2 linked regions of the Caenorhabditis elegans genome follow. The protein of the gene in region 1 purifies or fractionates together with the protein of each later gene. This does not show direct contact. Each region holds a gene or a part of one and is shown on either strand. Other genes may lie near its edges.

Evidence for each region.
Region 2: the proteins of F38H4.4 (region 1) and slc-25A42 fractionate together in Caenorhabditis elegans (co-fractionation; one large-scale study listed by BioGRID). This does not show direct contact.

What each region holds. Positions count from the first base shown.
Region 1 is NC_003282.8:11,846,226-11,850,999, reverse strand, and holds F38H4.4 (Tyrosine-protein phosphatase domain-containing protein), read right to left. Parts: upstream 2,739-4,774; 5' UTR 2,706-2,738; coding exon 2,663-2,705; intron 2,620-2,662; coding exon 2,402-2,619; intron 2,289-2,401; coding exon 1,941-2,288; intron 1,894-1,940; coding exon 1,571-1,893; intron 1,525-1,570; coding exon 1,411-1,524; intron 1,360-1,410; coding exon 1,113-1,359; intron 1,060-1,112; coding exon 973-1,059; intron 926-972; coding exon 800-925; 3' UTR 691-799; downstream 1-690. Other genes in the region: F38H4.6 (Major sperm protein), read left to right, coding at 3,243-3,383, 3,590-3,878, 3,925-3,965; F38H4.3 (BMERB domain-containing protein), read right to left, coding at 4,758-4,774.
Region 2 is NC_003279.8:8,612,199-8,617,323, forward strand, and holds slc-25A42 (Mitochondrial coenzyme A transporter SLC25A42), read right to left. Parts: upstream 2,996-5,125; 5' UTR 2,814-2,995; intron 2,635-2,813; 5' UTR 2,565-2,634; coding exon 2,544-2,564; intron 2,491-2,543; coding exon 2,382-2,490; intron 2,323-2,381; coding exon 2,136-2,322; intron 2,073-2,135; coding exon 1,867-2,072; intron 1,816-1,866; coding exon 1,736-1,815; intron 1,689-1,735; coding exon 1,532-1,688; intron 1,014-1,531; coding exon 889-1,013; 3' UTR 527-888; downstream 1-526. Other genes in the region: F43G9.4 (PWWP domain-containing protein), read right to left, coding at 1-25, 75-173, 248-312, 360-387; cfim-1 (Cleavage and polyadenylation specificity factor subunit 5), read left to right, coding at 3,195-3,404, 3,452-3,549, 3,599-3,828, 3,926-4,071; F43G9.21 (uncharacterized protein), read right to left, coding at 4,207-4,327, 4,603-4,616.

The sequences.
Region 1 (4,774 bases):
ATTTGTGTGATTATCTCTGATCAAAATCTTTCTGCAAACCAAGTACAATATAAATAAACATAGATCTTTTCGAATTCATTTTTTAAGGATACACTAGAGATGGATAGAAACTATGCAGACACACGAAAAAGAAGCTTTTTTTCAATCAAACAAGTTTCCCTGAGAAATTGCAAATATCATTGTGATCTACTAGTATTTGATCTACCCACAAAGTTCAGTTTTCACCTGCAAAATGCCAGCATTTTTTGAAAAATTTTTAAAACGGTATTTGGTTATTCTAGTTCTATAGGAGTGATTTTATACATCATCTCAGCTACTTCACGTTCGTTGGCAAGGTTTTGATGGAAAGTTTCCTGCAATCGTCAAATATATTCAACCCAACTCATATTATGGGAAAAATTCTGAGAATGCGTATTGCGCAGCATATTTAACGCCTAAAATATCTCGAAACGAAAACTACAGTAAGACTTTGAGTGACTACTGTATTTGTTGATTTATGGGTTTCAAAAATAATTCCTTTGAAGCCCGTAAATCAACACGTACAGTAGTCATTTAAAGTCTTACTGTAGTTTTCGTTTCGAGATATTTTAGCCGTTAAATATGTATGTTGCGCAATACGCATTCTCACTATCAGAATTTTGGGTTCTCGTTAACTGGCTGTGATATACCCTAGTTACCTTGAATTGAATTAAATACAAAATTTTATTGATGAAAACCAGGGGCATTAATATCTATGAAGAAATAAAAATCGGAGAAATACAATGCTTCATGATACCAGAAAATAGTTGCAGAGTTATAATCAGCATTTATTGATCACAAGTTGACGGAGGATCATCTGAACGTTAATCTCATCTTCATTTTCCTTATCTTTCTCTTTATCCTTTTCGTCATTTGGCTTTTTCGGAATGGCCAATTTGCAAAACCCCTGTAAATAGTACACATTTCAAAATCCTACATCATATCCACACTCACATTATCCAGTATATGCTCAGCCAAAAGTGTGTAGACAAAAGAAAACTGAGTCAGATTCTGACAAGCATGTATGCGTCCATTGCGAACCTGGAAAATGAATAATTACATTTACATGAGGAGGTTACATGTAAAATCATTACCATCTCCAAGCACTTAACCAGATCCAATGTAGCCTGCTCACTGTGAAGAGAAAGATGGGCGGTCTCGAACAAGGCAAATGTGCCAGCTCTTCCACATCCAGACAGACTCATGTATACAGTTGGAGTTGATGGAGAGTACTTGCGAAGAACTGATTGAAGCTGCCAAATCTGTTTCACAAACTTTGGAGATCCATTTCCGGGTATATTGTTGTGAGGCCATGCATTGTAGTGGTGGATGTGAAGGAATCTTGAGGAATTATTGAGAAAATAGGATTCATAGAAACAAAATAGAACTTACGACTTGTAGTCTCCATTACTAACACTAACAACTTTCAGAACCCATCCATCCATAATCTCAACACGTTTGAACTCTCCAACTCTGATTGAACGTTCTTCGAAATTTAGAAAATCTCTGAAACTCGAAAAATAGAAGTGACACGAACAATGATAAAACTTACTGATTCCTCGGAAACACGAAATCCCCTCCCAAACTATCATATTCAGAGTCGGTGAGCAAAAGGAGCACACACTTGACACGTTGCTCTATAATCATTTGCCAGAAGTCTGCAGATGTGTGCGGCAATGGCAGTTGAGTTAGAATTGCCCGTTTCTGAGTGTCAAGTTCTAAATAACTCGCATGGATATACGATGAATCTGACAAGTGAACTTTCGAATGATCAAGGCAAATAACGTCGGCAAATCGATTTTTGTGCATGTTTTTCACGAACTGATGTTTGGTGACGCTAGGTGGGATGTAGCTGACAACTTGTTCAAAATCATTCTAAATTCAAAAGTTTCTAGATATCTTCTAGTACCATTTAAACTCACAGCTGCAATGTTGGCATCCTCATCCACGAATCGCTTTGCCAATCCTAACCATTTTTGCTTCTTCTCTTCTGTATTTCCATCATCATCTTTTTTCTCATCCTTCTTTTCTTCCTTCTTTCCCTCTTTCTTATCATCTTTTTTCTCATCTTTAATGTCCTTATTATTATCCGACTTTTCATCTAACTTGGTCTTTGACTTGCTCTTTTGTAGCTTATCATCCTTATCTGTCTCCTTGGAAGCCTTCGAAGGTGTCACTTTGTTCGGAGACTGTGGAGCTCCAGGAAGTTGTTGGATTGGGAATGACTTACTTCTTTCTAGATTCTTCACGAGAACTACATCGCCAAGTTGCTGAATTGAAATTTAAAAAAAAATTGCCCTCTTTATAGAGCTTTTTTAGCCTAAAAACAGGCTTTTGACTATATATGTTCAAAATACCCAGAAAATCTGGTCTCAAAACCAACCTCATTAACGACTGGTGGCAATGGCTTCACGACCTTCGAACGTGGCTGCTTATGAGCCGTGGATTTAGATTTACCATGTCCTTTCCTTGACTTTCTACGTTTTTTGCCACGACAGCACAAGAATCCGGTCTTCTTCTTTCCGGAACGCGACTTTCTGTGGTGCTTCCCCCCGTGATGTTTGGCATGTTTCTTCTTATGAGGAGTCGGTGTTTGTGGCGCTGAAATTGATTTTTATAATTCTCCTAATTGAGTATTACTCACTTTGCGGGACGTTGTGCTTCACAATTGGTCCATTTGCATCCATGCTTCGGAGTTTCTTGAAATTTGCAAATTTTGTGATATCGGAAATAAATAGTTTTTTTCAACTCTCCCAATTTGCACATTTTTCTTCAAAAGTTTATTTTCTTCTAAGGTCAATTACGCGTGTAATTTTTATTTATCTTTATTATAAGCATGTCTCTTGGAACGTAGTAGTAGAAAATAAGCTTAATATCAGAAAACAAGTACAAAATGTTGTATTTTTTTTTCTTCTTAATATTGGAAGTTAATAGTCTATGCACTCTTTATTGATTCAATAGATAAAACCATCTTCTGCCAATAGAAAAGTTTTATAAAAGTATAAAATTACAAGAATTTAGTAATCCATTTTACAAAATAAAACGTGAAGGTTCAGTTCTTTATATCTGACGTTTGAATTTATTTTTGAGGAGAAATATCACTCAAACTCAAAAATCAATTATTTCGACTTTATTTTCTGCTCATTTATAGCAGCTTGGAGGTAAGTAATTTTCAAAGAATTTTCAAACGTTTCAGTATTTGAATCTGATTTCAGAACTTACAAATGGCTGATAAAAAATCACCGGTTGCTGTTGGTATGACGGTTACACCATCAAATCAAGCAAATTTCGTTGATGCTGGATCAACTACATTGATGAATAAACCCGGTGAACCGACATTCAAATTGGGTATTAATCTGAATAAAGTGAGTTTGGGAGTGTACATTCGAGGTGACCTAGCCTACCTACGCCAATGTATACTGTTGCGGTGTGAATATTCACAATTCCAGACCAAAGAGGCAGGCATACATCAGACACGATCTTTTAAACGTTTTGTAGTTTTATAGTGAATCGTTTTGCGTTCATTTTCAAAAGCTTCAAGAAACTGAAAAAAAACTCAAATTAATTTTAGGTTGAATTCAAGTGCACAGAAGATCGAAAACCAATATCAGTAAACTTGAAGTTGCACAATCCAATGGCAGTCACTGTTTCGTACAAAGTTCGTTGCACGTCTGCTGATATTTTCCGTGTCCAACCTCCACTGGGATTTGTGAAACCGAATGAGACAGTTTCAATTGTGATTTGGTATCAGAATCAAGATAAGAAAGATGCAATTTCAAAGAATCACTATTTCGCTTTTTACCATACCACCAGCGACGGACGAACTGCTCGTGAATTATGGGCAAATTCGAAAGTTGAAGGTTGGATTCAAAATTGGGATATCTAGTTTTTAATGTATTGTTTCAGGTGTTCGTCGTCTCCCTGCTTCGTTTTTGTCGACTAAGTGAACTTTGAATAAAGATATTGTCATTTCAACAATTGTAAAAATTAGAAGGAACTCTTTTCCCGGTCTCGGCGCGATTTTTTTGGAGATTTTTATCTTACGTTCGAGAAGTGCATAATACCAGCTATAAAATGATTAAATTTAGTTCAAAATTCTAAACGCTCTGCACACCAATCCCTAGTTAAAGGCGAAGTACCGAAATTAGACTAAAACCCCTTGTAAATCGTTCATTTTTGTACATTTTTGGGGTGAGCTTCTATGCCTTTCAACAATCCAAGTACAATCACAGTTAAAATGTGATGTGCGCATAGTGTTTTCGGCGTGGAACGCGCGTGGGAGAAAAAGGAACCGGAAAAAAAATTGCGCGCGCATTGTGCGTCGAACTTGAGATGCATTTTGCGAGCATCGCGAACATAAATTATGGACACATTGTGTTCTAAGTTCTCTTCGAAATTCTCCTCGTTGGTGATCTTTGTCATTTTTCTCTATAAGATCCACAGAGCCAATATGGGCCCATCGCAAACCGTTCGCGATAGGCGCATGACGGGTGGTCGCCACATGCGATGCGCGCATTATGGCTCTTCATCCACTATGCGCACATCTCATTTTAACTGTGTATATAATAAGCTCGTGGATTTTTTTGAATTCGTTTCTTAAGAATCGAGAGAGTTTAAGAATAGACTTTTCATTTTGAAAGAAAAAAAACAACAATAGAAAGTGACAGAAACTATGCAGGACACTATGAAAAAAGAAATACTTTGGTCATCAGAAAGAAATTTGTTTTTGTTTTCTTCAATCAAATAAGTTTCTCTG
Region 2 (5,125 bases), on another chromosome or scaffold:
CGGTGGTGACTAGTGCGTATGTTAACTGAAATTCGAGAATAGTTGCATCGTGTTTTCGGTAATTTTGATCTTACTTTTGGAGCACAACTGAATCGGCTTCTTTTCGTTTCATCGACACCAGGCGCCAAAGGGAAAAAGCTGTAGCTGACTTTTTTGGGATAAGCATTATTGACCTGTAAAAAGAGTTCGTTGAGGCAGAAAGGGAATATTGTATTTTTATCTTCAGTTTTCTATAAAAAAAACGAACCAGTGCTGGCCACATAGGATCTTTTCTGTATGGAACCCAAATGACATCTCCTTTTGAAATATTTTCTGAAATATCGTGAATTTAGTTATGTATTTCCAAAAACTAAACTAACGTGCGATCACAGCGTTTAAATTGGGCATCGTATATAAATTATTCTGAAATTAATGATAAAAGTCGAAAACCCTTGAGAAATTTTCGAAAAATACAAATTTACGGCTAAATTACCAAGAAAAGACGATGAAAGCTCCTGAAATCAAAATTTCAACACTTACTGTTGAATAATAAAAATAAAAACCGTTTATGAATTGAGCAATAAATTGAAAATCACTAAAAACGGGGAAAGTTGATTTGGCGGGGAAACACTGGCACTTGATAATGAAATAGAGGGGAAAAGAATAACCGAGAAATTTTTAAAAAAATTGAGTATTCACAGAAGAAATATGATTTTGAGTATTAAAAAATTATTTTTGGATTAGAAAAAAATCTTCTAAATATTCACGTTCACTATCCACTAAACAGTCTAAAATTAGCGGTATCTAAAAAAACAAATGCAGTAAAAATTAAAGTCAAATCGAAATAGAAAAAAAACAAATCATGAGAAAATATATTTTTGGCGGTAAGAAAAGAGAGAGTTCCATTGATTATCGTTTTAGATGACCCACAAGTTCCAGAACTTTTTCATAAGTGGTGAACGAGACTCCGACTGCAATTGGTCCTTTCAGCCAATTCATGCTCAATCCTTTGTACAATCCTCGTTTCAAACCCTCTGAAAATTTGATGTTTTTGTATTGTTTGCTGTATAGTTTATTCTAGTAAAGCCCACTCAAATATTGTGAATTGTTCGGAGTTTTATGTGTAGCTATAAAAAATTACTTTAGAAATTCCAAAATCTTGTTTTAGAGGTGGACGGCGGCAATTATTGAAAAATCATAAATATTGCGCCATGTTCACCCCATATATTTTTTTTAGAAAATCGTAGTATAGAAAATCACTTAAATTATCCAAAAAGTTGATATTTGCCCAAAAACAAAGTTAGATAACTCGATAATCAGTAATTGACAACTTTCAGATCATTTTTAAGCACTTTCTCAAATTTTTCAACTGGAATTAATTTGATTTTCGGACACATCAAGTGATTTTCTATACTTTGACATTGAATTTCAATTAAAAAAATGTTGGAACAAGCAGGTTATTTTGTTTAATTGCAACCGCCCATTTCTGATAGAACTATATTGTCATTATAGTAAGGTTTAAAAAAAACTATAATTCAAAAAATAGTCATACCCGTATGATAAATATGAATTAGAGCTCTAAGAGGACTCCATCCACTCGGAATTCGCCCTGTTTGCATCCGCCTTCTCACAATATCGAGTGGATATGACGATGATTGACCGATCAAACCAGCTAACATTCCAAATAACATTCGGTAGTAGGAATTTTCCTGAATTATCATACATAATAACGTATAGAAATAATTTCTCAACTCACAACTTCACCTCTATGATCTCGATACATAATCTTAAGAGTTTCGTATGTGAAGAAGGAAGATCCAGCGTATGGTATTACTCCTGTAATCAACAAAAATCGATAAGAAAGATGTTTTTCATAAGAATTCCTACCTAGTATAGTTGGATAAATCCCTCTGTACAATAGTTGAATACCACCTTCTTTATATGTTTTTACAAAAACATGTTTCAAAGAACTATATTGTAATTTTGAAGAGACTGAAAGACGAGCTTTTGCGGTGTCTAAAGGATAAGTGATCATTGTAGCTGTTGTGGCGGCAAGAGAACCTGTTATATATCGTTTCACGGGTGTTCGACTTCTGGAAATTAACATTTTGAAGTTAAATTTGCCACCTCGGTGTGAAAAAAACTTTAAAACTCACCCATTTTCGTCAACTTTCAGCAATTTTTTATACTGCTCGAAGGCTGCGAATTGCATCGACGCGTATGGCACAACACGAGCCATCGTCGCAGAATTTCCACGATACAATGCAAAGAATCCATTTTCCCGATATGTTAGTTTTATGAATTTAATGGCAGATCGGAATGAGTAACCACGTGTACTTGAAACTGGAACATACAAAAAATTAGGTGTATTTTCGATTGTTTCGAAGTGACATAATTCTTACCTTGAAAATAAATTTTAGTTCGATCCAAAGGTGCGATTGTAGTTTTGGCTAAAGCTCCGGCGATCGCGCCTGCGGATAGTGACAAAACGACACTGGGCCTCTGTTTTCCCTGAAAATATGATTTTATGACAGAGATGTTCCAAAATTTATTTAAAATCTTACCTCATTTGAGTCGTGCGGCATGAAAATTGCAAAAAAATCACGAGTCTTTGCTGGTTTTTCTAGTTGGAATGATACAAAGTCAACGATTTATCTGCAAGATCATCATGTGTTATTGGATATAAATTCACATAATTAACATAACAAAACGATTCAAAAACGAAATTTCAAAGAATGTCTAGAGTATCATACTGGGAGCAAAGAATTTCAAGGTGAAGAGTAATGAAAAAAGTGATGTGTGATTTTTCTCTGGCGTCTCTTTATCTTCCTTACCGATTGTTTACACTTAAAATGTGACTGGCTAGTAGTTGATAGGCGAGCGTTCTTTGACGTCTGCGTCTTAACTAGTTTCTCATTGAGATGTTCGTTTTAGACGGTCAAAAATTATAGAAATGAACAAAATATTGTTGTTTTTTAGATTTTTACGATAAAGGCGTGAAAATTTTATAAATTTGATTCAGACGGACTAGTTTTCACACGTTGCAACCGCGCCCCATGGACAAACTGTTTCTAGGCCATCTGTACATTTTTTTTGTAATTTTGTTTTCAAACAATTTTTTCCAGTTTTCAATTCATTTTTTTTAATTTGCTCTTCGTCAATATTTAATTGTGTACTCTAAATTGGTTCAAAATTTAAATATAATTTCAGTTAAAATGGAAGACATCTGGCCAACAATCGAAAGAACAACAATTTCAGCATCTGTGCCCGAGGCTCCAGCGAACTTTGATGAAAAACCTCCGTTCAATCGAACAATCAACGTGTATCCGTTGACTAATTACACATTTGGTACTAAAGATGCACAAGCAGAAAAAGACAAATCAGTTCCAGAAAGGTTCAAACGAATGAAAGACGAATATGAAGTGGTAGGTGTTCTCTAATTGTCTCCAACCGATATCAATTATTTTTTTAGATGGGAATGCGTAGATCAGTTGAAGCGGTGCTTATTGTTCATGAGCACTCACTTCCACATATCCTACTCCTGCAGATTGGTACCACCTTTTATAAATTGTGAGATTAATTCCTATTAAAATCTGAAAGTTTCATAAAAAAATTGCAGGCCGGGTGGAGAATTGGAACTTGGTGAGGATGAGATATCTGGAGTCACACGTCTTCTAAACGAGACACTCGGAAGAACCGATGGGGAGACAAACGAATGGACAATCGAGGATGAGATAGGCAACTGGTGGCGACCAAACTTTGATCCTCCCCGTTACCCGTACATCCCTGCGCACGTGACAAAACCCAAGGAGCACACCAAGCTGTTGCTTGTTCAGTTGCCCTCAAAATGTAAGAGACTGAAAAATTGATAAGATCAAAATTTAAAGTGTCTTCGAATTTTTTCCCTAATTGAAACCTAAGCAGTTTAATGTTTTGTACATTTCAGCAACATTCTGCGTTCCCAAAAACTTCAAACTCGTCGCAGCTCCACTCTTTGAACTTTATGACAACGCAGCCGCCTATGGACCACTGATTTCCTCTCTTCCAACCACTCTTTCGAGATTTAATTTCATTTTCAATGACTCCAACTAAATATTTTTATTATCTGTTACTTTTTGTGTCTTCCTATTTTGTAAATGACCTTGTTCACTCTAATTTTGCTCCTACCAAATCTTCGATTTTGTTATGTATGATCTCTCAAATCGTTAGTATGAATTTAAAAATAAATTATTTCTTCATTTTCATTCGTTGTAATTTAATTCTTCCAACAACAAATATGATGAAACAAATTATGCAGATCGTGGCTTGTATACAAAACACTGTGAAGACGCTTGTTTCGATGGAAATTCTGAAAGAATATTTCATATTACGTAGAAGTTGAGAAAATACGCCATATCTTACGGTCTTGGGTCTCGCCACGCGGACAACCAGTTATTGTAATTGAATCTTGATATTCAAATTAAATGATAATTTCTGACATTATTTTTAAAAAAGTTGCTAGCGTGGTGAGACCCATGCGCGAGACTCATGCCTCTTTAATTTAAGCAGGAAATAAAATACAATAGAAAAGTAACTAAAGAAAACGTAACTAAAGAAGTAACTAAAGAAAGAAAACTAACTTACCTATCAAACTTCATATTGTTAATTCTTGATACGGACGTTGTTGTTTCAGTGTTTCAGATTGAATATAGCGAATTTTTCGTTCAAAATGGATGAACGGCTCACAAAACTTTCAATTCACATTTAGAAATACATTGAGAAATAACAAACTCAAAGAAATAAATGATTACAATTCAATAATTTTTTTGAAATCAGATTCTTTGACGCGAGTGAATCGAAATTAATGATAAGATTCATTTTCGATTTTCTTCAGTTTTCAATCAAATCGGATTGAGCTAGGTAATAATGAAAACCATTTGGAAACGTGCATTTTCAAAGTTGCGAAACATTAAAGGCGCACGGATTTATTTGAATGGGTCTCACCGCAAAAGAAATGGTACTCTGACTCATTTTTCGTGTCGAGACTCATCGGACAAAATCCGTGCGCCTGCAGGTATCCGTTTTAGACTGTGACTGAGATCGTGTCGAGACCCACTCCGAAAACACCACGCTCCTTTAAACTGATTTCATATTTTCACGAAACAAC